7 linked regions of the Rattus norvegicus genome follow. The protein of the gene in region 1 interacts with the protein of each later gene in a pairwise test. Links are inferred from orthologs where the notes say so. Each region holds a gene or a part of one and is shown in the gene's direction. Other genes may lie near its edges.

Region 1 (3,500 bases):
CAGGTCAGTCAGTGGGATGCTGCCTGTTGCTACTGCTTCATGGCAGATCTCATGTCTGGTCCACCACAGACTGTAGGCTTGTGCTCGGTTCAAAGTCTGATTGAACCAACAGAAGTTCAAGATAAGTGTGTGTGTCCTGGGAGTTTATTGTTAGAAGTACTTTGTTGTTGCTATTGTTTATCCCCAGTTTTATTGATTATTTTAAGAGATGAATAAAGTGGCCTTTGAGCTAAAAAAATACGGAATTGTTACCCCAAACTATCATTTAATTGTTTTTATAATTGTTTGTGTTGAGTGTTGGCCGGCATATTTGTGCACCATATACATGCCTGGTATCCTTACAGGTCAGAAAATAATGCCAGGTCCCCAGAAACTGGAGTTACATGTAGCAGTGATAAATTATTTTCTTGTTCTCTAGGGTATATTTGTTCAACTAGTCCAGGCTAATTCCCCAGCCTCCTTGGTTGGGCTGCGATTTGGGGACCAGGTGCTCCAGATCAATGGTGAAAACTGTGCCGGCTGGAGCTCCGATAAGGCACACAAGGTGCTCAAGCAGGCCTTTGGAGAGAAGATTACCATGACCATTCGTGATAGGTGAGCTGCTCCCCACCAGTGACACTGAAGTGCAAGCCCATATTTAAATAGAGTTGTCTACTTTTTATTTTTTAAGGCAAATATTGATTTATTACATCTTGCTGTTAGGTGTTTTTCTTACGTAGTTAGATTCTTTTCATAGAAGTCTACATTTGCATATACATTTTACCACCCTGTCTGGGAATCTGTCCTCTAAGCAAGCTTTCCTGTCTCTCTCTCTGGAAAGGTTATATATGCATCAGGAGTAACTGATGTAGGAAGGGCTGTGGCCTCACTCTGTAGCACACTGCCTAAGCGTCCAGTGCCAGGGCCCCTTGTCATGAGGACTAAATGTCAGAGAGTTCCTAAGGACTCAGTTTTGAAACCAAATCTGGTCTGGGGTGGTTGTGCAGTTAAGTAAAAGAGGATGAGTCATTCTGCATGGTCGGTGGTCTACTTTTAACCTGGAAACTGTACAAAAATGATTTGCCTCTTTTCTTCCCAGCTCCCACAAGTATTAAGACCAGTATCACCACTCTGAGAGAGTAAAAGTGACATTGATCAAAAAATGTTTATTAAATTCCTAAATGTAATAAAAATGGAAAAGTCCATAAAATTGTTTTAATGTGTAAAGCAGAATTTCATAAAAATTGGACCAGGTCTGGCCAGTTTGGTTCCCATACCCAATAGGGTGGGTCACAGCCGCCTGTAATATCTGTTCCTTTCTTCATAGGCACCTGCACTCACATGCACAGGCCCACCTGTGCCTTTTTTTTTAAAAAAAAGCAGTAACATTGCAAATACAAAGACATCACATGTTGGAATTCACCAGACTCAAACATTATAAACCTCAGGGAACCTCTGTACAGATGTTCATCTATCCGGAATCTCAGGGAACCTCTGTACTGATGTACAGCTATCCGGAACAGAAGCTGTGGAGGGAGCTTCATGGTGGATTTTACATTTCCACCCTAGAATGTATTTTTTGAGTTACTCACAACTATAAGCAAATTCATGAAAGAAAAGAAATCACTTTAACTTCTTTTATAACTCAGTGTGGACCAGCTGCATTCAGTCCTTTCCTTTGCCCTAACCTTTACCGTATTGCTTTCCATGTTGTATCGTGTGCACCTTTGTTTATGTGCATACACTATTGGCTAGGTTCCGACTGGGAGGAAAGTGCATCTCGGTTAACTCCAGCTCATTGCTGTAGTGAATAAAGCAGGACTAAGTGTAGGGGCACAAGTGTGTCAGCAGCAGGCTGTGGGGTTCTCTGCATGTAGTGTGTGCCTAGGGGTGAAGTAGTAAGGCCATGTGCTAATTTAATGTTTTGTTTTGTTTTTTTTTGTGTTTTATTTTTTTTGAGAAGCTTCTAAACTTATTAGTGGCTATATTAATTTGTACCCTTGTTTTTTGATAATAGTCATTTTGATGAGTGGAGGGGTAGTATCTTGAAGTAGTTTTAATTTGCATTTTCTTGATGACTGAGCAGTTTTTGTGCGCTGAGAGGTTGAGACAGTTTCTCTGTGTGGCCCTGGCTGTTCTGGAACTCACTTTGTAGACTGTTCTGTCCCTGAACTTTAGAGATCTGCCTGCCTCTGCCTCCCGAGGGCTGAGGTTAAAGGGTGGAATTAAAGGCATGTGCCACCTCCCCGCTGAACTTTTTAACATAGTTACTGGACCTTTTAAGTTATTTTGAAAAAATATTTTATTAGTTCATTTGACCGTCTGTTGATTGGTGACTTTATTTCCTTAGTATGTAATTTCTGCAACTATTTATAAATTCTGGGTGTTAGCAGCTTGTCTGAAGTTTGGTAAAGGCTGCCCATGCTGTGGCCTTTTGCTGTGCTGATTGTTTCCTCTGGTGTACAGAAATATTTTGTTTCCATGTGGTCCCATCTTGAATCTTGGGCTTCATCCCTTTACTGTTGCTGCTCTACGCAGAGTTGTTGTCAACCTCAAGTGCTTGAAGGGTGTCCCTGTGGTTTCTTCTAGAAGTTGGAGCCATTTAGGATTTAGGATTCTGGTCCATTTTTATTTTATTTTAGTACAAAGTGAATCTAATTTCACTCATCCACAGGTAGAATCTGTTTTGCCAGTGTTGTTTCTTGAATTGTTTTTTCCCCATTATATGATTTTGCTTTTGTTGCCAAATCTTTTCGTGCACTCACTCCGTTGCGGTGGTCTTGTGTTTACACCAGCCCCAAGAGTTCTTCAGGCTGTAGCGGTGGGTGCTCTGCTCCTGAGTATGGCAGCCCCAGCAGCGTCCTCGCTCCTCAGCATCCCTTTGGCCCGCTGCACTCTTCTAAGGGCCCAAGGGAATTCTTGGTTTGCTTTTTTTTCTAAACCTGTAAAGTCCAATATTAGAATTTTGATAGGTATTGCATTAAATCTGCAAATTAATTGTGTTGTAGTAAAGGTATTTTTATAATAATTCGGCCAATCCAGTTGCTTGGACTTGCCATCATCAATTAACTTCTGTGGTTTCCTTTTTCAGTATCTTTTGCATTGGGAGAATCTGTCACTTACAGAAAGGGCTTTCACATCTTTGGCTAGATATATTCTTAAATGATTTAAAAAGTTACTTTGAATGGAGTTGGACTAATAGGAAGGTAGAGCTGCAGACTTTCCTGCTGTAAACAGAGCACGTTCAGAAAGTCAGTCAGCGAGCATTAGTGGCATGACAGCTTCTGCAGGCAGAGCTCGAGGCCTTTTTAACTGTAGCTTGTGCCTTCCCGTCCAGTCAGGCCTCATGAACCCCCACTCACTGCTTCTCTGGTGGGTCTTTCACATTAGAGCCAAGTTTTGCCTGTAATCCCGGCCACCTAGGTGGGGTCCTGGCGCACGTGGTGGGGAGAGCTCATCCTGCAACTTACACTTTATGCATAGCACACCTAGTAAGTAAGTGAAAGGAACGAATCCGTGAA
Region 2 (4,263 bases), on another chromosome or scaffold:
ATTTCCTTCCAGTCCTGCTGGCCTCCTTTCCCTGATAGACGTGAGCCAAGCTCCCCTCTACCTCAGAGTCACGCACTGCACTTGCTGTTTAATCTGTTCAGAAGGCTCTCCACGTGCTGACATAGCGGGGCACCACCTCATCTCAGATGTTTTCAAATTTTATTCTCCTCCTTACCCCATAGTATTCTTTTATTTCAATTGTAGCATTTACTACATTAGGATATTTTTATGATTTATTATCGTTTATGCATCTGTACATGTGCACCCTCATACCACCTTTAGGTGGGTTCCACGAATCTAATTCAGGTCACCTGACTTCCATGGCAGGTTCTTTTGCCCACTGAACCATCATCTCTCTGGCCCCTATTCAAGCCATTTTTCATGTCCTTATTAGATCAGAAGGAGGTGAGTACTTTATTGAGTAGCTGTAAATTGCTTACTTCTGCCCATGCAGTTGATATGAACAGGCTGCATCTGGGGGCTGGAAAGTGGTTCCAGCTCTCCCTTAAGATCTCTGTGTGTTTGTGGAGTGTATTAATTTCCTTTTAGAGTGCTGGGGTTAAACTCAGGGCCTTCTGTGTGCTAGGTAAACACTCTACGAATGTTACACTCCCAACCTGTCAATAACATAGTCACTGAGCCAGGAGAGATAGCTCAAAGGGTAATCGCTCTTGTTGCTCTTGGCAGAGCAATAATGTCCACATAGTGGCTCACAATCATCTGTAATTCTAGTTTCAGGGGATCATGCGGCTTCTTCTTACTTCCTCCAGCACCAGGCACACACGTGCTGTACACACATACATGCAGGCAAGACATTTATATGCATAAAATAAAATAGATAAGATTTAAAAAAAAAATCACAGCAGCTTGCAACTACAGAGCCGGAAAATCTCGTGCCCTCTATTGGCCTCTGTGAACACTTGCCCTCCTGAGTTAGACACACACACACACACGAATAAATAATTTGGGAAAGAAAAAGGCTGAATCTGGAAATGTAACTGTTGGAAAAGCACTTGCCTAGCATGCAGGAGACCCTGAATTCGATTTCCACATAGCACATACTGAATGTCCGATTTATGCCTGTAATTTCACTAGGAAGCAGGGGGACCAGAGTTCAAGCCCTCAGCTGCGTGGTGAGTGACAAGGCAGCCTGGGTTACAAGACACTGTCTCAAAAAAAATAGTCTTGTCATTTCCTCTTCCTTTTCAGTTCATTACAGAGCCTTTGGCGTTCTAGGAAAGCAGTGACTTAATATTGAGCCAGTCAGTAGCTGCGTCCGGCATTGCTCATTCTGGCCTGCAGGGGACAGTGTGACCATCTTCAGCGTTTTCGAGGCTTTCAGCCACTCTAGGTGACTCAAGATACTCAGGCTCCGGGAGCGAGAGGCGGGCCAGCCGGAAGGGGCGGAGCCAGCCACGATCCCGCCCCAGGCCGCCTCTGCGCCCTCGCCCCGCCCCCTCCCCCGCCCGGGCTGCTATGGCCCTTCCCGGCATCCCCTATGAGCGACGGCTTCTCATCATGGCGGACCCTAGAGATAAGGCGCTTCAGGACTACCGCAAGAAGCTGCTAGAACACAAGGAGATTGACGGCCGTCTTAAGGAGCGTGAGTGAGCCTTGACACACTCTCTAGTGCCTGGACCGGCTTCCGTCTCTGATAGAGTGGAGGCTTCGGCAGAGCCCGAAAACAGAGCGCCCGGCTTGGGAAGGCCTGAGTCCAGGGACGAGGCGCTTTGTCATCCCGCCCCGTGCTGGGGTGCAGCACCGCCTCGGCCGTGGGTATGGCCCCAGCCCCAGTCCGGTGGCATAGGGAACAGCCACAGTTCCGAGGTGGAAGGGAAGGGGAGGATTAGAGGAGTGAGGAACAGGTGGGCTGGGGACATATCCCAGGTGCAAGGAAGGCAGGGTTGGAGTCTCGGGACCTGGGGACGGGAGGACTTTTGAGCCAAAGAAGCTCCAGCAGGATGTGGGACTCTTGGAGGAGGCTTGCACTTGGAGTAGAGAGGACGCAGTGGTTGTGATAACCCTTCTCGTCTTTCCTCGGGATTCATACTAAGTGCCAAGTTTCCGTACACCTTGAGCATTTGCGTTTTGAAAAGCCTGCGTAATTTAATTAAACGAGAGAATACCGCAGCCTATGATTCGGTGAAGAATTGCGTTGGTTGGCTTTATTTATATCGACAACCAGAGAGTAAGCCAGGTAGTGTAGCTATGGGAGGCTTGATTCACCAATTATCATTTAGTTTTGTAGCAAATCTGAAAGTGGCAAGACTATCACTATCTGTTAAGAATGTAACTTAAAAATGCCTCTGCTCAAGTATTTCATTCCAAGAAAATAGATATATGGTACTTTCTCTGTTACGTTTCCTTTTAAAACATGCCACTTGTCCATTAACAAACTGCAAATTCTTTTTTCGTGGTTTGATACTGTGGGTATGAAACCTACAGAAGGTAAAAGAGACCTAAGTAAAAAATTTTAATGCAGTTATTGTTTTAATTTAAAGTGTCAACGTTTTATTATTTCAGTAAGGGAACAATTAAAAGAACTTACCAAGCAGTATGAAAAGTCTGAAAATGATCTGAAGGCACTACAAAGTGTTGGACAGGTGGGTGATAGATACAGCTTGAAAGTGTTTTGCCATTTTTTTAAACTACTGGCAAGAGATAATGCACCTTTTTTCTTTTTCAGATTGTAGGCGAAGTGCTTAAACAGTTAACAGAAGAAAAGTGTAAGTGGATTGACTTACTAATTAGTTAAAAAAACAAAAAGCCCCAGTTCCTTCTCAACTCTTAAAGATTTATTTATTTATTTTATGTATGTGAGTACACTGTCGCTGTCTTCAGACACATCAGAAGAGGGCATCAGATCTCATTATAGATGGTTGTGAGCCACCATGTGGTTGCTGGGAATTGAACTCAGGACCTCTGGAAGAGTAGTCAGTGCTCTTAACCACTGAGCCATCATCTCTCCAGCCCCCCTTTTTAAAAAAGATTTATTTATTTATTTATTTTACCTTCTCAACTTTTGAAATGCCCATTTTATTTTGATTTTCGAGGCCAGGTACTAACTACTATGTAGCTCTGGATGCAGCTTCCTATGGGGACTAGGCTGGCCTTGAACTCACAAAGAGATCTGCCTGCCTTTGCTTTCTAGTGCCAGGATTTTAGGCATGTGTGCCATTATGAAAGGCTATTTTAATTCTTACTGCATTTATTATTTGTGTGTGTGTGTTCCTCTGTCCCTATGCACACATGTGTATGCATATGTGTGTGCATTCATGTGCATGTGCATAACTGTGGAGATCAAAGGACAATTTGTGGGAGTTAGTTTTTTCCTTCCGCCATGTAAGCTAGGACCCAAGGCTTGGCTTTAGTCAGATCAATGGGCTTGGGTGTAAGTGCCTTTATTTATTAAGCTATCAGGATAGCCCTGAAGTGCCTAGTATTTTAGTAACAACAATACAAGGAGTTGGTCTTTTACATAAGCTAAATTTTGTATTTACTGTTCTTGGAGGTCAGAAGTAAAACTACACTCACCATAGATGTATTTGTTTTCTAACTTTTTTTTCTTTTCTTTTTTTTGGAGCTGGGGACCGAACCCAGGGCCTTGTGCTTGCTAGGCAAGCGCTCTACCACTGAGCTAAATCCCCAACCCCATTTTCTAACTTTTTCAATTGTTCTTCTTCCAGTCATTGTTAAAGCAACAAACGGACCAAGATACGTCGTAGGCTGTCGTCGGCAGGTAATGCCTTCTGTCTGTATACGCTTTGTAACTGAGAAAAACACTTTTGTGTAAGTTACCTAATTCTTGAGATAGGTGGGTGAGGCATTGTGCCCATAACTCCCCTGAGTACTTCGTTAGACACAGCAAATGACTAGCAAAATCCGGAATTTCTTAGTCCCTACTGTTTCACATATTGCCCTAGTCAGATATCTGTACTTAGAAATCAGATCATTTTAGAACTAGGAAAAAAAATGCTTTAGTATGATGTCTTCCTTGAAAAGGGTATCAGTTGTCCATGTTTTACATTTAAACATTCAAAATCATTACTTACAGACTCTACAGTAGTTGGTTTTAGACATTTAGACCAGAATGGGCAAGTTGAAGTGCCTCTGAATTTCATTTGTAGACTTACAATGTCAGTAAGGAGTTTAGAATGAATCAGTAGCATCTGCGGTTTATGTATCATTCTAGTCTTTAGGAAGCGTCTTAACCATTTACTGAAGGACTTTTCCTGAGAGTATTTGCCGTATTGAGTTTAAGTT
Region 3 (4,300 bases), on another chromosome or scaffold:
AGACAACAGTCCTGAATTGGCTCTCTTCTGCCATGTAGATCCGGAAAATCGAATAAGGTAATCAGGCTTGTCAGGAAGTGCCTTTACCTGCTGAACCTACGGCCAGCCCTCAAATTGATTTTTAAATTAAGCTTAGCTCCTGTGATAATTATTGTTTTCTGACTAATAATATTATTTAGATAGAATAAAATGACAAAAATGAAAGAAGATTCTTGAAACTAGAATCATATTTAATGTCCACTGTATTAGAACACCTGGCAATAGTCTTTTGATTTTTTTTGTCTTGAAAACACATTTATATTGCTTTAAGACTCAAGCATCAAAGCCCCCATCTACCTTTCCAGTCTGTAGAATCTCAGTCTCTTCCTCTCCAAGTAGTTCTGGAACCATGTCTCTAAAACTCTTCTGCATCTAAAAGCACCCAACTGTGATTCACTTTATACTCTACTTTGTACTGACTGTGAAAGACAATCTCAAAACGCACCATCAAAATTAACTTTTGATAACTCAGAGCTAATGTTAAATGTTTGTTCCCTCCTGTTTTAAGTCTCCCGGGCTCAGAAGGCTAGCAGTTCTGCATGATGTTGGCTTACTCAGTGCCTCCTCAAAAGATATGGTGCTGGCCTATAGTGGCTGTATGCTCATCAGATAGGGTACCCAATATTTGCGATAACCTCTTTCTATACTTGTCTTTCATAGGACAGTGTCTTTTTTTTTTTTTTTAAGACAGGGTTTCATTATGTAACCCTGAATGGCCTTGTACTCACAGAGATCCTTCTGCCCCTGCTTTACAAGTGCTGGAGTTAAAGACAAGACCATCATGGCAGACCAAGGACAGTGTCTTAATTAGAGGTGGTCATCACTTTGGAACAAGGCTAAACTTGCAAATTCTAATGACTCAAGCTAGACTTCGTAAGTGAAAACGTTCGCCAGGGAGATCAGGACATTATTCTACAACCTTCTCCTGGCGAATCTAGTGTCTGTCTCTCTAATTCACTGCTCTATATGAACCTATGTTTTTGTACATTTTTTAAAAGGTAAAGTTAGTCTCTTGTGTCAGCATTATAAAATAATGCAGATGGAGAAAGGGCATGCATCATTGCCAGCACTAGCTTGTTAGCTGAAGCCCTGTTCATTCAGCCGGTTATTCTCAGAGGGTGCCGAAGTCCGGAATCGCTCTGGATCCTGGTGCCAAAGCCCAACTTCTGTCCTGACCGTAGGCAAACACGCTGGCACCTCGAGCCAGCCCCCAACCCCCCGGAACCCCGCCCCATTTCTCTGTTGCCACTGGCAACGGCAGGCACCGCCCCAGGTTAGCGTGGCAAGAAAAGGTGGGACTTCCGGATCTCAAAGCCAATGTACCTGAAGAAATTAGCCAGTTACGCAGCACTTTCTGTCACGTGACACTAAGAGCCAATGATAGTGTATAACCGAGGGCCCACGTGTCTCCGTTCCCATTGGCAACCCGCGGCTTCTAAACAACCTACTTTCCTCAGGCCCCAAGTGCTGGCCTCCCTGTTTCCTGTCTGATCCCTCCACAACCATGGTGAGTATCCTGGTCGGGAGAGGGCCCGGCCCGGGAGCGGACGACGAGCGGGGCCTCGCTGGGGAGGGAGGCTGGAATCACCTCGGCCGAGTCGCGGTGAGAGCGTCCTCGCTGAAGCCTTTCTCCGGCTTTGTCACCCCATTCCCTGGTGTGGTCTGGGAAGCCCTGGCCCTCACAGCAGCACGCATTTGCCAGTATGAAGAATTAGGGGCTGGTTCCAACTTTCTGAAGCACCTTACAGCTGATTAAATATGGGTGGTGTTTTCTTTGTTTGGACTTCTGAAGACTATTTGGGTATTAGAGTTCGGGCTTACCTTGAGACTGAAAACACCAGTTCATCCAACCTCTCACCAAACAATTAATTTAAATAGCCATACATAGATAAAAGCACGGAAATGAAGTTGAAGGATGTGTCACTTTGTACACATCTGAACAAAACAGACCATTTCTTAAACAATTCTGAGCTTAGAACTGGTCTTGTTTCACCTGATTTCAAAAACGAAAAAAGAAAAAGTTGCTAGTGGTGTAACAAAAAAAAGTTAGTACTTGTTTGTGTTCTTACTCTTTTGTCAGTTTGATACCACTTGGAACCGTGTAGATTATTCATTAATAAGTTGAAAGTTATACAAGGGTTGATACAATGATTCATCTAAACAAAGCACATAAGACATAAAATTTTTAAGCAATAAGCCCACTCTTCCTTTTTAAAAATAATTTTTTTTTTGGTTCTTTTTTTCGGAGCTGGGGACCGAACCCAGGGCCTTGCGCTTCCTAGGCAAGTGCTTTACCACTGAGCTAAATCCCCAACCTTAAAAATATTTTTATCCTTTAAAGATTTTATACATTCATACAATGTACTTAAAATCCTTCCCCCAGATTCTTTCAGAATTATCTTGCACTTCCTGCCCTGTTTGTTTTTTTTTTTTTTTTTAAGCCTACCTAGTCCAATTTGTGCTGCCCATGTACTCATATGTGTGGGACCATCACCTTTCTTGGGCCACACTCTTAAAAGAAACTGACTCTCTACCCTTCATAAATCAACTGTTGGTAACTCCTCAGCTAGAAGTGGGGTCTCATAAATCCCTCCGTGTCTCTATGCTGGATTGTTAATTGGCCTGACTTCGTGCAGGCAACCACAGTTGGGAGTTCCTAGTTCAGCAGTTCTGTCATGTCTAGAAGACATCTTTGTTGTTGCTGTTTCAAGACAGGGTTTATCTGTATAGCCCTGTTTTGAATCTCTCTCTGTAGACCAGGCTGGCCTCAAACATAGATCCACCTGCCTATGCCTATGCCTCTGCCTCCTTAGTGTTGTAAATAAAGGCTTGTGCAACCACTGCCCAGAAAGAAGGCATGGTTTTGGTCCGCTCCCCACGGATGTTTTTGTCTTTTGCTCCCTCTTCAAAGATAGTTTCTGAGCCTTGCAGGGGGACAGAGGGATGATATCCTGGTTGTGGCTAAGCTGATTGGGTCTGAGAGCTGCACTTATCTATGCAGCTTCTTAATTTTAGAACAATATCTGGTTTATTAAGAAGACTATAGTATCTGTTTTCAAGCCAGATATACCTTTTAAGGCTGTATTTGGTAAGGTTACATTTCTGTAGCGATCTGAAAATCAGTGAATAAGGAATACAGGCATTCATTTCCCCTCACGCAGCAGCCATCTCATACAGATTAGTGAGTGAGTCGGTGCTGCTCCATGAGGTGAAGACCGAGGTCTTATTCATCCTTCTGTTCTTCCAGCCCTGGGGCATAAAAATGGCATGGCTCATCCTAGTTACTTACTCTGCCTACTTTCAGAGACATTAGAGATGACAGAGGTATAAGGTATACCCCATATCTTAAGTCTTTGAAAAATACCCCACACCTCTTTGGAGTCCTTCTTTTCCTGAGAAGTAGTCATGTGACCTGAGTGTATTTGGCTGCAAGGTAGCTGGGTAGGGAGAGGACAGGAGGGCAACCTGATACACATCTATCAGTTACTACAACACAGTATCATGAGCATCACTGGTTACTGTTATTGTTTGAGACTGTATCTCTGGGTAGCCCTGGCTGTCCTGAAGCTCACTATGTAGATCAGGCTGGTCTCAAAGGCACAGAGATCTGCCTGCCTCTGCCTCCTGAGTGCTGAGATTAAAGGCAGGTGCCAGTACACCATGCCCAACAAATTACCTTGTTCATTTTTGTTGTCATTTCTTTTGTCATCTCCTCAGGACTAACCAGTTCTCTCTTTTTCAGGCAGAGTTGGGCCTAAATGAGCACCATCAAAATGAAGTCATTAATTACATGCGTTTCGCTCGTTCAAAAAGAGGCTTGAGACTTAAAACGGTAGATTCCTGCTTTCAAGACCTCAAGGAAAGCAGGTATCAAGAGATTTTAAGGCCTAACTTCTTAAAACTGTGGGTCATATAACTGAATGAATGTGGATTCCTTAAAAATTTGGCATTAGTAAAAGTTTCTTAAAATGTAATCACTAAAAATTATTTCATAATTAAATACAAAATGACTCTGAAGTGTTCTGGCAGCATTTCCCAGTTTTATCTCGTGACTTCACTGCAGCCATCATTCTGAACACACTGCAGGCACAGTTGACACAGCCCAGGCCAACCTGCCCCGCAACATCAGTACCAGCCGCCTGAAACTCTTTGACATAGGCTATTGTATGCTTTGACTTGCAGTTAAGTATTCTGCTCTTAGGGAGACGTAATGTTGACAGAGACCTAATATTTTCTTACCATCATTTCTCAGCAGGTAATT
Region 4 (4,215 bases), on another chromosome or scaffold:
ATTCTACAGAGTCCCAGACCAGCCAAGCCCACTAAAGTGAAACCTTGACTCCCAAAAATCAAAAGAAGAAATAAGATGTCAAGGAATGCTAGTTATGTCTGCAATCCCAGTTCCCAAGAACCTAGAGCAGGAAGTTTTGGTGGTCAGGGGCTAGTGTGAGGCTACATTCAAAGCAAGTCTGAGATTCAATGCAGCCATTTTGGGGGCGGGAGGGGGAGACAATATTAGCATTTCCTCCCGTGCCAGCTCAGGTTTTACATCCAGAGCTCATTCTGAGATGTAAATGAAGCTGTATTGAGAGTGGGTTGTTTTACATCCGGAAGCTTTTAATTCTAATACTGGCAGCAGGACAGATTTGTATCTCTGGTGCCTCAGGACAGCACCTGAGAGAGCTCCCAAGACGTAGCGCCTGGCCATAGCAATCTAGGGCTTTATAAAGGCAAACTCCACAAAGTTATAAATCTGGGTCTTGCAACTGTCTCTTGAGCAGAGGAAGCAAGATTGATTACAAAAGCAGAAATAGCAGTCGGTATTATGACTTATAATCTTGCTAAAACAGCAAGTTTTACAATAGTCTTCAGCTTCTGGGGGGGGGGGACAGGCCGACAAAATACAGTCTGTAAAACTAGAGGTTCACATGCTATAGGCATCTTCCCCACTCTGTGGTCTCACAAGCACATTAAGCTTAAACTTTAAACGTTAGCCATCCCAGGTCTCACTATGTAGACCAGGCTGGCCTCGAACTCAGGATCCGCTTGCCTCCCTATCCCGAGCGCTGCCTTTAAGAATGTACACCACACTCGGTTTCTTGGTAATTTTACGAAACTTCGAGAGCTCGCTCGTTAGGCTGCGTACTCGGGAGCAGGCGCTCCTCCTCCCTCGAAGGGCGCCTGACTTCGCCCAGCCCAGAACCCCGCCGTGGCCCCGAGCTTACTAGGGTGAGCGCCACCTCCAGCATGGGCGTCAGAGCCAGCGTGCCGTGGAAGAGCGGGATGCAGTCCACGAAGAGAGTGTGGTTGCCCGCGCCGGGAGGATGTTCCTTGCGCGGCCTCTGCCTCTCTGCCACCAGAAGCCCGTTGACGGCGCAGTGCGGGTACTTGGCGCCGTGTAGCACCATCTTGCAGTAGGCCTGGGTGGTCAGCTTCACGCCAGGCATGCTGAGCCTAGCTGGTCGCGTCGCGACCAACGCACCACAGTACGAAACACGACCCCACTGCACGCTAAGATGAGCTCCCACCACCAGCTACAGCCTCCCGCCTCAGTCCGCCCGCCGGAAAGCGTAGTCGCTAGCTAGCGTCTGCCAGAAAGCAGCGCGGCCTGCTCGGCCTTTCGCGACAGCTGCCGCACCGCGATCTGAAGCTGATGGACGTGGGCGGGGCTTCTTCGATTCCCGCGATGCTTCGCGGCACCGTCTTGCTCTTCCGGTGCGGGACCCGCTCTTCCGGTCGCGAGCACCCGGGGTGTAGAGGGCGGTCGCGGCGGTCGCCTGGGCAGCAGTGGCAGGTGACGGCCTTTGACAGCGGGTGAGGGCGGCGCGGCCATGGGCCGAGATCCTGGAGCGCCGGGGCCGGAGCGGTGCCTCCGAGGCGCCCCCGGACTCGGGACTTGAGCAGCTCCGTGACCTTGGGGCGCCCGCTTCCCGGGCGGATCTGTTGTCTTGGGTCCCCATTTGCCGTTCGGTTCCGGCCTGCCCAGCATCGGGCGTTCCCGCTCCGCCAGGCCCGAGGGACAGCGAGCTGAGTCCTGACGTCACGCTACGGTTTCTGCCGCCACGGGCGTTGTTTTTTGCGGTCTCGGGCGTTCGCTCTCGGGGAGCGAAATCAAGAGGGGTTGTGTTAAAGTGAGGCGTGGAGCTCGGGTCGCTGGGGCGGGTGACAGGGTCATCCAGGTCGCCTGCGGGCCGCAGGGACGGGAAGCGCGCCAGGGCTAGGGCTTGGGCGGCCTCCTCCGCTTGTCCTTCGCAGTCTCTGCGCAAGTCGATTTTTAAAATAAAACCAAGTCCGCAGGCGGTGCTCCCACCGCCACAGAGAGGAACAGCTCGTGGTGGCACCGTGCTATACCGAGTTCTAGCAGTTTCAGTCATTCTGGCCTTCTAGTTAATCTTTAAAAAGCTGCGTTTTCTAGTAAGTGGCCAAAGCCATGTATGTATATCACAGCCCTTGGTTTGATATCAGGAAGCTCTGTAAATGTGTACTGAGTAGAAGAACCTTATCCTGTGCTATTTCATGCCTTCTCCTCAGTAATAAAAACTGGCTTCTGGGTGCACGCCTCTGGCCTGCAATGCCAGCTCTTATGAGGTAGATATGGTAAGGTCAGCCTGTGCCTTAAAAAGCTGATGAAATCATACCAAAAAAATTTTTTTTAACGTTGGGGGAATAAGTTGCGTTTACTTCCTCAATGTTCTGTGGCAAAAAGACTTGTGCTAAAAGGTGTTTTCTCTCATTGTTAGGGATATACGTTTTTTATCTTTCAGAATGTTGGCTACCAGGGCACTTAGCCTAATTGGCAAGAGAGCCATTTCTACTTCGGTGTGCCTTCGGGCACATGGTAAGTGGGGCTTTTACTTCCTTTCCTTTTCTGTTTTCCTTCTTTGGTTTCTCATGACAGGGTTTCTCTGGGTAGCCCTAGCTGCCTTGGAGCTCAGAGACTTAACCTGCCTCTGCCTCTGCCTTTGCCTCCCGAGTTCCCTGGGATTAAAGATGTGCACCACCAGGCCTGGCTAAGGACTGTTACTTTCAAATAGGCCAACTTAATGTCATTTTGCCCCTAAGTCTAAGATCCTGTGCTAGGATTTTAACAAAGATGTCTGGTAGCTTGACCTTGCGGGGATTTTAGGGAGAGATGAGAATTTGAACAGGACGGTTGTCTGCTTGAAGGAGCATAGATAAATCCTGTTCGCCAGGATCTTGGCTTGCTTTAGTTTCCTCTCACAGTTTGTTTTCTAGTTCTCTCTTCCGTCCCTCCTTCTGCCCTTCCTTCCAGTCTCACTGTGCAGCTCTGACTGGCTTTGAACTCTCAGGGTTCCTGACTCTGCCTCCTGAATGCTATGGTTAAAGGTACAGTACCACACCGGTAAAGTTCTGTCCCTTCTGTCTGTCTCCATATCTTACTCTAATCTTTTCCACCCACAAAACTCTGACCCTCTTAAGCCCCCCTTCTGTTTCCATCCTGGAAGCAGTGGAAGCAAAGGCCGTTGGGTGGGCTTGAGTCAGAGCTGTGCGGATTGCATTGCAATCATGGCTAGCTCCTGCTGTTGTAAGGATCGGCCTTCTCAGCTGAAATATACAGACATGCAAGGTTTGGTTCTGAGCCTGGCATGTCACCACGTTATCTTGGCACTTGTGAAGCTGTTCTTCCTACCAGTGTTAGGCACTGAGACTAAGATAACGTGAGGTGGACCTTCCACAGAGCTTGCAGTATGGAGTGGGCTGGCCACGGGAAGGTAGCGTTAGCCCTAGAGGTGGACTGTGTAGCCTGGCTGGCACTTGGGAAGGCTTCTAGGAGAAGGGTTCTGCTGCCGAAGGGCTAGCAGTGTGAGGCATGAGGCTTGGGTTGTAGATGAGATGTTTGGAGAACCTTGTTCAGCATGTATTGAGTATGCAACAGCGGCCCTCCGTGTTGGTGTTAGTGCAGCCATCCTGCAGTAGTTCTAATGCTGTGTCCTGTTGTTCTCCCCCGGGGGCACCAGAGGTGCAGGCTGAGACATTAAGTGTTATTGAAGGGTTTGGGCAAGGAAAATCCCTCTTTTATTAACCAACATGAAAGACAGGCTCCATCTCCGAGCACGGGAAGCTGTGACAAGACCAATTTTCAGTTTGGCTTGGCTGTCATTTTATTAATCTGGCCAGTGGACAAGGAGCTTCAATCTCCTTGGACATCTGTGCTTACAGTATTAGGGCGCTTTGGGACTCCACTGGGGCACTGCTGTCAGTTGAGGTATTTGTGGTGTGAGGTGACTGAGAAGCGGTCTGAGCCCTAACGTCTGACAAGCCAGGCAGCGCTCACCTTGGGTGAGAACAGAAGTGATCTTTTGAGTACAGGGAGTCTTTGCCTTTCTTTGCCCTTCTATTATTTTGTAAATTTCCTCCAAAGATTCAGATTTACTAAGGCATGCAGGGCTACTGCGAACCCCTGATGTGTAAAGCCTGGCATGTGCCTGGGTAGGTTGGGAAGGTTTCTACAACCCAGGTCTACTTGGAAGTAAGGCTGTGAGCT
Region 5 (3,571 bases), on another chromosome or scaffold:
AGACCACAAACCTGCTTTAGATTCAGATTTTAAATGTAATGTGGATCCTCTTTGTCTCCACCTGACATCTAGCATGAAACTTGCTCATATATGACCTCCTAGCCTGGGTTTTGTAGTTCTGCTATTTTGCTTCCTACTGATGCTAGCTTTTGTCAAACAAGAGATCACTTTATATCACCAGTGCCTTGAGCTGTCCACCTTTATCACTAAGTGGTTATACGCCAACTGCTCTAAGTTTTCTGGAATGTACGGAGAGAACAGAAATTTCTGGAAACTCAAAGTACTGCAGTTCTGAGACCCTCAGCCAGGGGAAGAAGAAAAAGGGGAGTCCTAGACAAGCAGTCATATTGCAGCCAGCACATAGAAGGGGTAATCCTGAGAGAGCGGAGCTGATGTTGGTTTGTTGAGAGTTTGCACTGGGGCTCTAAGCTAGAAGCATTTTGTATGTCATTAATCTGTAATTTATGCAATTCTTCTGTGTGCGTTGAACATCTGCCAAATTAAGTCACGAGCATTCCAGAAGTCGACTCTGGGGGCCAGCTTTTCCAGAGGCTATTTTGCATGTAGCGTGTGTCATTGGCTCACTTTAAACTTATTTCCTCGAAACTTAAAAGCAAGAGTGGACCAGGAACAGCAGCTGACAGTGAGGTCTCTCTGGAGTATAACCTTTCAGAAGTTGACATCTGAGAGTGAAATTCAAAGTGGGTGGGATGGCTGGGAGAGCGATGACCGAAGGCTTAGGCACTTAGGCTTTCTGTAGCTGGTTCACAAGACAGGGCTGTCCTTGGGGTTCGCTGGAGTAAATATGCTATTGTACTCTGTATTGTAGCCTTGTTACCTATCCTACTTTCATTCAAGTGAGTTTAAGTTGTGTAGTTTGCAACTGCCTAGAAGATAGGTATAGAGTTGACTTAAACTTTTAAATATTCATATAATTAAGCTAAATAAAAAAGGCATAAAATTTTGCCGCCTCGTGAGACATAGTATTTCATCTTTAGATTTATTTTTTATATGACTATGCATACATCTGTGTGAGCACATGCTACATGTATGCAAGTACTCAGAAGAGGATGTCAGCTCGCCATAGAGCTGGAGTTACAGACAGTTGTGAGCCTGCCATCATGGGCACTGGGTTCTAAAGGTCCTCTACAGAGCAGCAAGTGCTCTTAACCTCCGAGCTATCGCCCCAACTACCGAAACATAATATTTTCAAATCAAAGGTTATTTTCAAGGAAGGTATCAACTTTAATGGCTATATGAACAGTATATCAGTAATTGGGAAACAAACTGTAAATAGTGAAGGAATGAGGGGAAGTACTCCTAATACTTGGAGGTTTGTCTGGTTTTGTTTTACTTGCTGTTAACTGATCTTTTGTTCTTTCTACCCTGTTGTTTTATTCTCTAGTGGCTACAGATGTCTTTAATTCCAAAAACCTGGCCGTTCAGGCACAAAAGAAGATCCTGGGTAAAATGGTATCCAAATCCATCGCCACCACCCTGATCGATGACACCAGCAGCGAGGTCCTGGATGAGCTGTACAGGGTGACCAAGGAGTACACCCAGAACAAGAAGGAGGCAGAGAAGGTCATCAAGAACCTCATCAAGACGGTCATCAAGCTGGCCGTTCTCCACAGGAACAATCAGTTCAACCAAGACGAGCTGGCCTTGATGGAGAAGTTCAAGAGAAAGGTGCACCAGCTGGCCATGACGGTGGTGAGCTTTCACCAGGTAGAGTACACCTTTGACCGCAACGTGCTGTCCAGGCTGCTGAACGAGTGCCGAGAGCTCCTGCACGACATCATTCAGCGCCACCTTACCGCCAAGTCTCACGGACGGGTTAATAACGTCTTTGATCATTTTTCAGATTGTGATTTTTTGGCTGCCTTGTATAATCCCTTTGGAAAATTTAAACCTCACTTACAGAAACTTTGTGACGGCATCAACAAAATGTTGGATGAAGAGAACATATGAGCTTGTGAGAGAAGACCGTGACCAGCAGCGATTTTTGTGACGTGGAGCACTGCTGACTCATAAAGGGAAGACAGAGAATCTTTTAGAGATCGCATGTTTTTCAGAAAGGCTTGGCCCCATACAGCCTGTTGTTGTTGGACATTCATAGTAGAACTCCTGTGTGGCTTGTTGTATTTGAAAGAAAGAAAAAAAGCATATTGCTAAAAAATCTGGCTGAAAATACCTTAATGAATGGCAGGATGTGGGAAAAATGGATGGTTGGTCATTCAGATGTCTAGTGATACAAAGACAGATGAGTGTGGCCCCAAGCGCTGGCACTTGCTGTGTTTTAGGGGAATCGTATTGGTGGCACATTGGATATTTCTAATATGTATTAAAGCTGTGTATCTTGACTCACCTTTATCCTTTGCTATGTCTGCGTATCTCTCTTAAAATGCCAAGAACCTCTCTTTTGCTGTCATCGATCCTTTGGAAACAATTTTGCTTCTTTAGTTACAGGTTGTCATTGACCTTTAGGAATTAAATCTGAGGGGTTGGGGATTTAGCTCAGTGGTAGAGCGCTCAAGGCCCTGGGTTCGGTCCCCAGCTCCGAAAAAAAGAAAAACAAAAGGGAATTAAATCTGAGGCAGTCAAACCGAATGCTCAGGAAAGCAGAGACCTGCATCTGAAGTCATGACCGTGGAAATGAGCAATCTTAACATCGTGAGTAACATCCACCGCAGCTTTTGAAGCTGAGTCCTACTTTTTAGTACCATCAGTGAGACTTAGAGTCTCAAAACCAGTGGCATGGCATTGCCTTGAAATACTTGCTTAGGGCCTAACTTTGATGTCATCTTGAACAGGTGCTCACATGTTCCCGTATTAACATCCATTTCACCCGTAGGAAGAATAAATTCCTAGATTGGCTTTGATATTGAGACAACAACATGTAAGTAGCATTTCAGAAATAAAAAGAAAAACTTCTTGAGTTTAAAGATGAACTCATCAGGTTGACTTAGGGGGGAAAGGATAGCAAGGATGTTGCGAAGTAATGTAAGAAAGATGCATGAATTTCAGTGTGAATGGGGATTGATGAATAAAAGACGCCATTTTTTATTTAATGCCTGGGATTTCGATTGTGTTATTTGCTATTTTGAGGAATGGACTGGTGTCCATATCTGTCTTCAGCACTTGGTGTGCCATGTCTGTATAATTTCTGGTGTGTAGATAATGAAGTAAACCCTTGCTTATTGTGTAAAAGAACTAGAAGCCATCTGGGAAGCAACAGACCCAGCCACTGACACTAAATATTGTCATTGCCACCGAGCCTATCGTTTGTCTACCTCAAGAATATTGACAGTGAAATAAAGATCCACCAGCAACGATCCCATGGGTGAAAATCCGGAAGTTAAGACCTGCTTTGACCCATCACAGATTGGAAGGAAGTGGTCAGGTTTCTTTGAGACCCAGCTTTTTCAGTAAAGATAAACAGCAATGCTTGTGTGATGTCAAATCCTGATTTGAGCTGGAAGTATATATAATTCTTCCCTCCTGGAGCCTCTGGATGGTTCCTAGAGGTTATTACACTAAAGTAATGGCTGCATTGCTGATTATTGGACTT
Region 6 (4,273 bases), on another chromosome or scaffold:
TGGGCTATTTGCTATGTGCTGACAACTAGGTGACAGTGTAAGGTGGGCAATCTGGCCTGGACAACAGGGAACAGATGATACTGGAAGCCCTTGAAAAAGGAGTATGACCAGAAAGCTTTCTAGCCCAAGGGCCCAGAGTTCCCAGGGGGAGGACAGGCAAGTGGCATTGGATCCTTGGCTCTTCCTGGTCACATCAACCAGCCCCACCTTTGACACTGTTTCCCTATCCCCAAACAGGTCTGCCTGATATCCCCAGCCAGGACAGGATGTTGGCACACCTGTGGGGGGTTACGGGGCGGGGGAGCTGCCTTTTCCCAGCCCCAGTTATTGATGCAGCTGTAGTCCTTCAGGACACCCACAGTCCAGCTGTGTGAACAACACAGCCTAGGGCCAGAACCACCCACCCCTAGAGGTCACGGGTACACCACACACCTGTCTGCAAGGCTTGAATATGCTGCCACCTCAATACTCATGACCAAATGTCCAAGAAAGGAGTGTGGGTGTCTATGCCGGTCAACCTCGGGGACTTTGCGTGTCTGTTCCCGCTCCTGTAACTTTCCAGGATGCCTCACCACTGCTTAAGCAGGACTAGGGTGTGGTCAAAGGACAGCCTGACATGAGAGTCCTCCCAGGGTAGAGGTTAGCACTCCACCCGCTGGAAGCCAGGTCTGCAAACCCCAAATCGTCGATTCTGTGGGCCCTCCTTCTACCTGAGCCCATAGAGACAATATAGGGACATCCATAGCTTCATGATGGGAAACTAGGGCGGATCCTGCTCCGCTCCCGCACAAGCCACGCCCAACTCCCCACCCACAACCACGCCCCCTTGACGTCACAGAAAAGGCCCCCAAAGCCGCAGCTGCCACTCCGCAGCGCGCAGCCCAGCCCTGCCCGCCACTCCGCACACAGGCATCCGCGGAGCTCTTCCGGCCGGAGGCGACGGCGGCCTCCGGGGCTTCGGAAACGCAAGGCGCCTGCGCGGCAGGGCGGGGGAAGAAGACTACACTTCCCGGCGTGCCCCGCGGGCGGGCGCGCAGACACATTCCGGACCCGGTGGAGGCGTCGCACAGGCGCATTCTAGACCCGGCAGTGGCGCGCAGGTGCATTTCCGGCCCGGCAGCAGCGGCGCGCAGCCGCATTCGGGGCCCGGGTGTGGCACGCAGGCGCATTCGGGGTCCGAAGGAGGCACGCAGGCGCATTCGGGGCCGGGAGCCGGTGCGCAGGCGCATTCGAGGCCCGGCGGCTGCGGCGCGCAGGCGCGTTAGGCGCGGGCCGGGCCGGGCCGAAGCGAGCGCCGGGCGGGCAGCGGCGCCAGAGCGAGTGGAGCCTTCGGGGTCCCCGGGTGGTGGCGGCGGCGGCGGCGCAGAGGAGGAAGGCGGCGGCTCTCCCCCTGCCGGCGCGCGACCCGGTCCGTCCCGCGAGCTCGCGCCGGTCCCGCGGCCCGGCCCGGCCCCGGCCCCGGGCCCCTCCGCCGCCGCCGCCGTCACCGCCATGGCCCGGCCGCTGGTGCCCAGCTCGCAGAAGGCGCTGCTGCTGGAGCTGAAGGGGCTGCAGGAGGAGCCGGTGGAGGGCTTCCGGGTGACGCTGGTGGACGAGGGCGACCTGTACAACTGGGAGGTGGCCATCTTCGGACCCCCCAACACCTACTATGAGGGCGGCTACTTCAAGGTGAGCCGAGCCTCAGTTTCCTCTTTGTGCCTGCCTCTCTCCCAGGCTGGCTCAGGCCCCTCGTGCAAAGCGGCCCCTCCCTTTTTTGTTGGGCACGTGCTGACCTCACCCCGGGGACTGGTCTCCCTATACTGTTCTCCAGCAGGCTACATGACCAGAGACAGCTAATGTATGCCGCACCCCCAGGCAGACCCCCACTACAAGACGTAGGGGCCTCTAGAGCCTGCTGCTGGTCAGTGTGTTCCCAGGCTGTCGTGCACTGGACTAAGCATGTACCTGGGGATGTATCTCCCCGTGTTGTCCCCACTCTTCCAACATGCTTCTGGTGAAGGGTCTCCCCAGGGACAGTTGCTGGCCTTCTTGTTCCGGTGTAGTTCTCCCCACCACAAGACGCAGAAGCATCTGGAGCCCTCTGCTGGCAAGCATGTTCCCAGGTTGTCCCTCACCCCACCAGCATGTGGTGAAACCTGAAAAGGTTCACCTTAGTTTGTCCATATCTCAAGACATAAAGGACCACGGGCAGCTGCTGGCTGACATCCCCAGGCCTGTCCCCTACCCTGGAACACAACCAGAGCAGCCACTGGCCGATGTGTCCCCAGGGAAGAGACGTGTAGCCTGGACAGCCACCTGCTCCAGTTCCAGTAGAGGCCCTGGCAGGGCCTTGGCAGCCGTGCCTGTTGGACAACAGCCACCTTTAGCACTGGCCAGGCTTCACGTAATGCATTCAAGGGGGTGGTGGGGGCCCACCCTGAATCTTGGAGCCACACCTTGGGTTCCTGCCAAGGGCCCTGGACCCTAGAGCTCTCTGTTTGCCCCACCCTGACAGCCTTTCTCAGGTTCCACTGAACAGGTGGAGTCTTAGGGGCCTGATTTTTCCTTCTAAGGGGTGTCGTCTGCCCTCTGGTGGCTTCAGGCTCAATGCACCAGATGTTTTTGTGGTTGGGAGCAGGGAGGCTTAGGCAGCCCCCAACACTGAGTATGTTTGGCCAGGTATAGGTACCCATGTCAGCACAGTTGAATCATCCTGCCTGCCATGGACTAGAACTAGCAGAATCACAGGATCTTATGTTAGGGCCAAAGGTGCACGCAAACCCCAGCCAGTCTGGGGCCCCAGATGTAGGGCCGTGGCACTTATTTGTTCTGCGTCTTCCTTTGTGGCTGATGTCCTCACCCTTCTTGGTCAGTGCTTAGGAAAGTCACAAGTCTCCTTATGCAGGGGAATGTTTGAGTTAGGGTTTCCAGGTACAGCATGTGGAGAACGGGAGGGAGACACATGTGGACACCCTCGCTTCCCACCTGGAGGTGGTCTGAACTGAGCCGCCTTCAGGACATGCAGATGCTGTTAGCACCTTGTCTCCTGTGTTTGCGGGGGGGGGGGGGGGGGTGCTCAGAGCAGGGTCACCTGAACTCTTCCTTGCCCGTAAAGGATTGTGGGTAGAGCCTCCTAGGCTCACATTGTTCTTGAGGTAGCTTAGGAGGAGGCCCTGCATGATGTCACTCAAATCCGCCAATGTAGGAGCTTCCTATATGGTGTGAGTGACTGAGACGTGGGGAGTCTCTGTAGGAGGGGAGCTGTGAGGAGCTTCTCTGGACAGCCCAGCCTGTCTCACTTGAGAGAACCCTTCCTGTTCTGAGCCTCAGTCTGCTCATTCTTAGAAGCATCTGGAGCCCCAGAAGTGTGGGGTGTTGTTCCAGCAATGCCACCTTCCCCATCTGCTCTCCTGAGAGGATCGGGGTGGCAACTCCACACTAGGTTTGTGTGCGCCAGGCAGAACACTGGAAGCTGTCCTTGGGGAGCTCCAAGACTAGGGCAAATCTCAGGCCTTCTCTATCTGTCCAAGGTCGGGGCAGTGGGCAGGGTGAGCTTCAGCCACAAGCAGTTGCTGTGACCAGGCAGATGGTTCCAGCTTGTCTGGTGACTACTCTTGGCCTGGGCCCCTGAGCTTGGGTGGTGTTGGTGGGAGGCCTGAGGCCAGGCAGACCTGCTGACTCACTCCTCTAGCTAGCCCACACCTTTCCTAACCGCCTTGCCTTTCCTAACCTGGATGTCAAGTCACAGAGGTGTGCTGTGTGTATACTGGTGTACAAAGACTGGAGTTGGCTTCAGGGCCTGTACACCAGCGGCAGGTGGGCACAGCCCCTGACTCCAGCAGTGCTCGGGGGCCTGCCATTGAGCCACCCCATTTTCTGCCATCTGTAGGCTCGCCTCAAGTTCCCCATCGACTACCCATATTCCCCACCAGCCTTCCGGTTCCTCACCAAGATGTGGCACCCAAACATCTATGAGGTAAGACACTAGAGGCCTGCTTCAGGCACACTCCACCACACACTTCTCTGCCTCCCTTGCACATGCCCCACCCCTCCTCTAACCCTGGTCACTCTTGCAGACAGGGGACGTATGCATCTCCATCCTCCATCCCCCAGTTGATGACCCACAGAGTGGGGAGCTACCCTCAGAGCGGTGGAACCCCACGCAGAATGTCAGGTGAGAATTGCCATGGAACTGCACCGTGGGCACCCGCAAACACCCTGTACCCTAAGATCCACCCTTCCCTGCTCCAGTCAGGGGTTCCCAGAGTCTGGGGAGCTGAGCTTGCACCTACGG
Region 7 (4,278 bases), on another chromosome or scaffold:
TGTGTGCATGTGTGTGTGCGCATGTGTATGTGTGTGTATGTGTGTTTATGTGTGTGTGTTTGTGTGTGTGTATGTGTGTGCATGTGTGTGCATGTGTGTATGTGTGTGTATGTGTGTGTATGTGTGTTTATGTGTGTGTGTTTATGTGTATTTGTGTGTGTGTGGATGTGTGTGTGCATGTGTGTGCGTGTGTGTTTATATGTGTGTATGTGTGTATATGTGTGTGTGTGTGTGTGTGTGTGGTGCAGGGCTGGAGGCATGTACCCGTGTGTGCAGAGGCCAGACATTGACAAATGTCTTCCTCCATTCATCTCTTCCTGATTCTTTGAGGCAGAATCTCTCACTTGAACTCAGACCTTGACAACTTGGCTAACCAACTTGCCTGGGCAATCCTGCTTCTGGGATTACACACCAGCTGCCCTGCCTGACATTGTGTGGATCTTGGGGATTTGAATTCTAGTCCTTGTGACCTTTACCCGCTGAGCAGCAGCCTTGGCTCATTCACTTTCTCCCTTTTACTCAGTCCAGCATCCCAGCTCCGGAACCGTGCTTAGCTTAGGGTGGGTCTCATACCCTGTCAGCCTGAGAAACTCCCTCACAGACTGACAGACAGAGAGGTCCATCTCCTAGGTGGTTAGATCCTCTCAAGTTAACCATCACAGGCATGCCAGGCCCCCACAGAGCCTAGCATCTTCCAGACCTCAGGCGGGGTTAATTGAAACAGAAGGTGGAGTCAACAAACAAGAGGCGAAGGCAGTTTGACCGGATTTGCTTGGGAAACGCTGAATCACTGTGAGGATTTAATTGGCCTTAAACCTCAGAATCACTAGCCAAGTAGGATCAACACAGACTGGATTCCACTCAAGAAGGGAGGAGGTCTGACTGCATGCCCACATTTAGACGCGTCTGGAATTGTGTTCGTAGGTTCAGAATCTCCTTGGAAGACAATTCACATAGACCTAGACCAATACAGATCTATCTGCATGCCCATGTACACTTAGAATAAACCAAAGACCAAAGACGGGCACGGAGGGCTCCTGTACTACATGAGCCTTCTCTCCCACGTGGGGGCGCACCGAGACCTCCAGACGCGCAGAGCTCGCCCACACCTGTTCAGTCTACTCCCAGGCACTGTTCCCTCAAGTCCCTCAGCAAGCAGCGAGTGTGAATGTTAAGTAATCTCAGTGCTAGTTCGGTAGAAGCAAACGTTTGCATTTGCATAGAACGACGGGCTCTCGCCCAAGAAAATTACGGATCACTTATTTTCCTCCTTTTGAGGTTTCCCCAAAATAGTTGCTTCAATCCGACAGCCACGAGTCCCACTGACCCCTTCCTTTGGGAGCAGCGCTTGTCCCTGCCCAAGGCTTAAATCTGAACCAGGATCTCTACCCCGGCGGGCAGGCGGGAGGAGGCGGACCCTTCAGGAACGAGGGCTCCTCCTTGGAGGGGAGGGACCGACTTCTCAGGCCTTGTTCTCTAGCAGTCGCAGCGCCCAGTTCCAGAATCAAGTCCTACGCCAGGGTTCTGACCACGGCGTGACCCGCTGCCCAGCCGGTCTGACAGTCCGGTGGTCCGTGTGTCCCTCTGACATGTCGTCCTGCAGCCGCGTGGCCCTGGTGACTGGGGCTAACAAAGGCATCGGCTTCGCGATCACGCGTGACCTGTGTCGGAAATTCTCGGGGGACGTGGTGCTCACGGCGCGGGACGAGGCGCGGGGCCGCGCAGCGGTGAAGCAGCTGCAGGCGGAGGGCCTGAGCCCACGCTTCCACCAGCTGGACATCGACAACCCGCAGAGCATCCGCGCGCTGCGCGACTTTCTGCGCAAGGAGTACGGAGGACTTAACGTGCTGGTCAACAATGCGGGCATCGCCTTTAGAAGTAGGTGTGGGGCTCCAGGAGGAGGTGTCCGGGGTTCTCCGAGGGTGCAGGGCAGCGAGCCTCCGCGATCCGGAGGCTGCGCCATCCCGCCTGGGTGCGTCCGGCTCCCGCCCTGCGAGGCGTGTTCCCGCGTGCGGTGGGTGACTCGGGTGAGGGCACGCCCAGGCGTCCCACTCCACGCCCCACCCGGCCGGCGGCCTGTGCCGGCCTGTGCTCTGCCGGAGGCCCTCCTTGGAACTTTCAGCTGTGCCTGTTTGCAAGAAAACCAGCCTCCTGGGAGGGGACCACGCCTTGCCAAACTCATCAGCTTTCTGTCCCACGCACGAAAGCTTTTCTCAGAGAAGGGTCTTCCAAAAAAAAAAAAAAAAACCGGTTGGAGCTTTAGCTTTGCGTGAAACAAGGGCGCATTCATAGATCCCAGGAGACATCTGTTGAGGACAGGAAACGGGTCTCCCGGACACAATTAGCGCGCGCTGGCACGGGATAGTGAGTGGGTTTCCTACAGGCTTTAATGGAGTGTTTTGGGAGGCTCTAGCAAAAAGGAAGCGAGCCCTGCTTCCCCCCTCCTAGGGGAAACTAGGTTTGTTATTAAACTTAAAGCGGTTTGAAATCATCTCCCTTTAGGGGGGAAAAAAAATCAAGATCGCTTACTCCAACAAACGTTCAATTAGCAAAATTACCCAGTTGTCAGGTACTGGAACAGAAACAAACAGTTCTGCTTCACTTATAATGCTTAGAGAGCCAGGAGACCGACAAGGGGAGGAGACTACTGTGGAGCAGAAATCTATCAGGTTGGCCCTGGACAGGCATAGGCGCCTTGCATGAGACCCAAATCACCCTTCCACCCGCATTTCCAAACTCTCGCATTTCCAAACTCGGCCTGTGGGCTTCCGGGAAGGGGAGGGGTGAGTTCACCACCCCAGCCACTCTCAGCCTCGGATGGAAGATTTGGTGAATTACAGCCTTGGAAGTCCCTGCTTTTTTTTTTTTTTTTTTTTTTGGTTCTTTTTTTCGGAGCTGGGGACCGAACCCAGGGCCTTGCGCTTCCTAGGTAAGTGCTCTACCACTGAGCTAAATCCCCAGCCCCGGAAGTCCCTGCTTCTTAAGTGTGTGCCATGTGTATGCGAACTTCAGCAGCAGCTGCGCCCCTCACCACACACATACACACACACACACACACACACACACGCACGCACGCACGCACGCGCGCGCGCTGAGTTCTTACACCTGCCGCACCAGAGCCTGCATCTTTACCCAACCTCCAGGAACCGCCTACTTGAATTCAAGCTTGAGATGGGAAGATCAAAACTGGGTGTTCTTGAGATGCGGCATGAGCGGGGCTGATGAGAAACTTGGGATGCGGACCAGAAAGTTCTTTCCTTATGCTCACAGAGCTTTAGAAAAATCAAGTTCTAGTTTAAAGGTGTGTGTGTGTGTGTGTGTGTGTGTGTGTGTGTGTGTGTGTGTGTGGTTTACAGATGTGTGTATCACCAAGCTCACCCAGACTGTTCTAGAGTTAGCATGCTTCTCCTTTAGCGGCTATGTGATGGGATCCAACTTCTCACACGAGTTTCAGAGGAAAATGTAATTCCTCTTTCGTTTCTTCCTTGTACCTTTCAAAGTGGATGATCCAACGCCCTTCGACGTTCAAGCTGAGGTGACACTGAAGACGAACTTCTTTGCCACTAGAAATGTCTGCACCGAGCTGCTGCCCATAATGAAACCACATGGTAAGTCCAAAGTAGGACTACTGTCCCTCAGGAAGTGGCCACCGGTCCCTCAAATAGGGGAACTGACAGGAACCTCTCAAGGTTGCCATGCACGAAACTGCTCAAGGTTGCCATGCACTCGTGAGATGGAGGGTAGAATGTGCTTGTGGGATGGAGGGTAAAAGCCGCCTTATTTAATCAAGGTTTCTGGCTTTGTACTTGAGCCTCTTAGCTGTGCTTGTTGGGACTCTGTGGTAGTGATCAGTGTTCTTGAGGTCTGTGTCATGATCGCCACCTCCATCACAAGATGCAGCATGCCCCCAAAGGTCTGTGACAGTTTTAGAGAGTGCCCTCCCCCAGACCCCCAGGCATTGCAAGGATGGGCCCACCTCTGTCTTCTCTGGCGTTATAACATTCCTTCTATTCCTTTCTTCTTATGGGAAACTTAAAAAAAAAAAAACTTATGAGAAAGGTTTTTTTTCTAGATGTTGTGAGCTGGCTGAAAGGATCCAAAAGAAATAGCTTTTGTAGGGAAATGCCTTAATTATTAATTATTCTTAATTTCCTTCTAATGTTTATTGGGAGCCCACCATTTTACCATTAAACCCAGCACTGGTGCTATAATTGGACCCATCACACACAGGAGGACCATTTTATCCACAGGGCCTGAAGCTGAGTTGGAAGACAAAGA

Evidence for each region.
Region 2: the proteins of Sdcbp (region 1) and Psmc6 interact in binary tests that used the Homo sapiens proteins (3 or more experiments, as listed by UniProt). The two-hybrid records come from large-scale screens. The link is inferred for Rattus norvegicus from reciprocal best matches to the Homo sapiens genes SDCBP and PSMC6.
Region 3: the proteins of Sdcbp (region 1) and Lztfl1 interact in binary tests that used the Homo sapiens proteins (3 or more experiments, as listed by UniProt). The two-hybrid records come from large-scale screens. The link is inferred for Rattus norvegicus from reciprocal best matches to the Homo sapiens genes SDCBP and LZTFL1.
Region 4: the proteins of Sdcbp (region 1) and Cox4i1 interact in binary tests that used the Homo sapiens proteins (3 or more experiments, as listed by UniProt). The two-hybrid records come from large-scale screens. The link is inferred for Rattus norvegicus from reciprocal best matches to the Homo sapiens genes SDCBP and COX4I1.
Region 5: the proteins of Sdcbp (region 1) and Tnfaip8 interact in binary tests that used the Homo sapiens proteins (3 or more experiments, as listed by UniProt). The two-hybrid records come from large-scale screens. The link is inferred for Rattus norvegicus from reciprocal best matches to the Homo sapiens genes SDCBP and TNFAIP8.
Region 6: the proteins of Sdcbp (region 1) and Cdc34 interact in binary tests that used the Homo sapiens proteins (3 or more experiments, as listed by UniProt). The two-hybrid records come from large-scale screens. The link is inferred for Rattus norvegicus from reciprocal best matches to the Homo sapiens genes SDCBP and CDC34.
Region 7: the proteins of Sdcbp (region 1) and Cbr3 interact in binary tests that used the Homo sapiens proteins (3 or more experiments, as listed by UniProt). The two-hybrid records come from large-scale screens. The link is inferred for Rattus norvegicus from reciprocal best matches to the Homo sapiens genes SDCBP and CBR3.

The regions. Positions count from the first base shown.
Region 1 is NC_086023.1:24,307,999-24,311,498, forward strand, and holds part of Sdcbp (syntenin-1), read left to right. Parts: intron 1-418; coding exon 419-594; intron 595-3,500. UniProt on the Homo sapiens protein: Multifunctional adapter protein involved in diverse array of functions including trafficking of transmembrane proteins, neuro and immunomodulation, exosome biogenesis, and tumorigenesis.
Region 2 is NC_086033.1:21,020,851-21,025,113, forward strand, and holds the start of Psmc6 (26S proteasome regulatory subunit 10B), read left to right. Parts: upstream 1-1,463; 5' UTR 1,464-1,476; coding exon 1,477-1,603; exon of another isoform or gene 1,604-1,776; intron 1,777-2,523; coding exon 2,524-2,603; intron 2,604-2,686; coding exon 2,687-2,726; intron 2,727-3,686; coding exon 3,687-3,739; intron 3,740-4,263. UniProt on the Homo sapiens protein: Component of the 26S proteasome, a multiprotein complex involved in the ATP-dependent degradation of ubiquitinated proteins.
Region 3 is NC_086026.1:132,234,734-132,239,033, reverse strand, and holds the start of Lztfl1 (leucine zipper transcription factor-like protein 1), read left to right. Parts: upstream 1-1,500; 5' UTR 1,501-1,543; coding exon 1,544-1,546; intron 1,547-3,781; coding exon 3,782-3,906; intron 3,907-4,300. UniProt on the Homo sapiens protein: Regulates ciliary localization of the BBSome complex. Together with the BBSome complex, controls SMO ciliary trafficking and contributes to the sonic hedgehog (SHH) pathway regulation. May play a role in neurite outgrowth. May have tumor suppressor function.
Region 4 is NC_086037.1:65,628,968-65,633,182, forward strand, and holds the start of Cox4i1 (cytochrome c oxidase subunit 4 isoform 1, mitochondrial precursor), read left to right. Parts: upstream 1-1,415; 5' UTR 1,416-1,503; intron 1,504-2,473; 5' UTR 2,474-2,474; coding exon 2,475-2,547; intron 2,548-4,215. Other genes in the region: Emc8 (ER membrane protein complex subunit 8), read right to left, coding at 935-1,156. UniProt on the Homo sapiens protein: Component of the cytochrome c oxidase, the last enzyme in the mitochondrial electron transport chain which drives oxidative phosphorylation.
Region 5 is NC_086036.1:45,482,966-45,486,536, forward strand, and holds the end of Tnfaip8 (tumor necrosis factor alpha-induced protein 8), read left to right. Parts: intron 1-1,405; coding exon 1,406-1,971; 3' UTR 1,972-3,071; downstream 3,072-3,571. UniProt on the Homo sapiens protein: Acts as a negative mediator of apoptosis and may play a role in tumor progression.
Region 6 is NC_086025.1:10,670,808-10,675,080, reverse strand, and holds the start of Cdc34 (ubiquitin-conjugating enzyme E2 R1), read left to right. Parts: upstream 1-1,473; 5' UTR 1,474-1,491; coding exon 1,492-1,668; intron 1,669-3,868; coding exon 3,869-3,955; intron 3,956-4,055; coding exon 4,056-4,153; intron 4,154-4,273. UniProt on the Homo sapiens protein: E2 ubiquitin-conjugating enzyme that accepts ubiquitin from an E1 ubiquitin-activating protein, and catalyzes its covalent attachment to other proteins by an E3 ubiquitin-protein ligase complex. In vitro catalyzes 'Lys-48'-linked polyubiquitination.
Region 7 is NC_086029.1:46,476,817-46,481,094, forward strand, and holds the start of Cbr3 (carbonyl reductase [NADPH] 3), read left to right. Parts: upstream 1-1,478; 5' UTR 1,479-1,589; coding exon 1,590-1,878; intron 1,879-3,500; coding exon 3,501-3,608; intron 3,609-4,278. UniProt on the Homo sapiens protein: Catalyzes the NADPH-dependent reduction of carbonyl compounds to their corresponding alcohols. Has low NADPH-dependent oxidoreductase activity.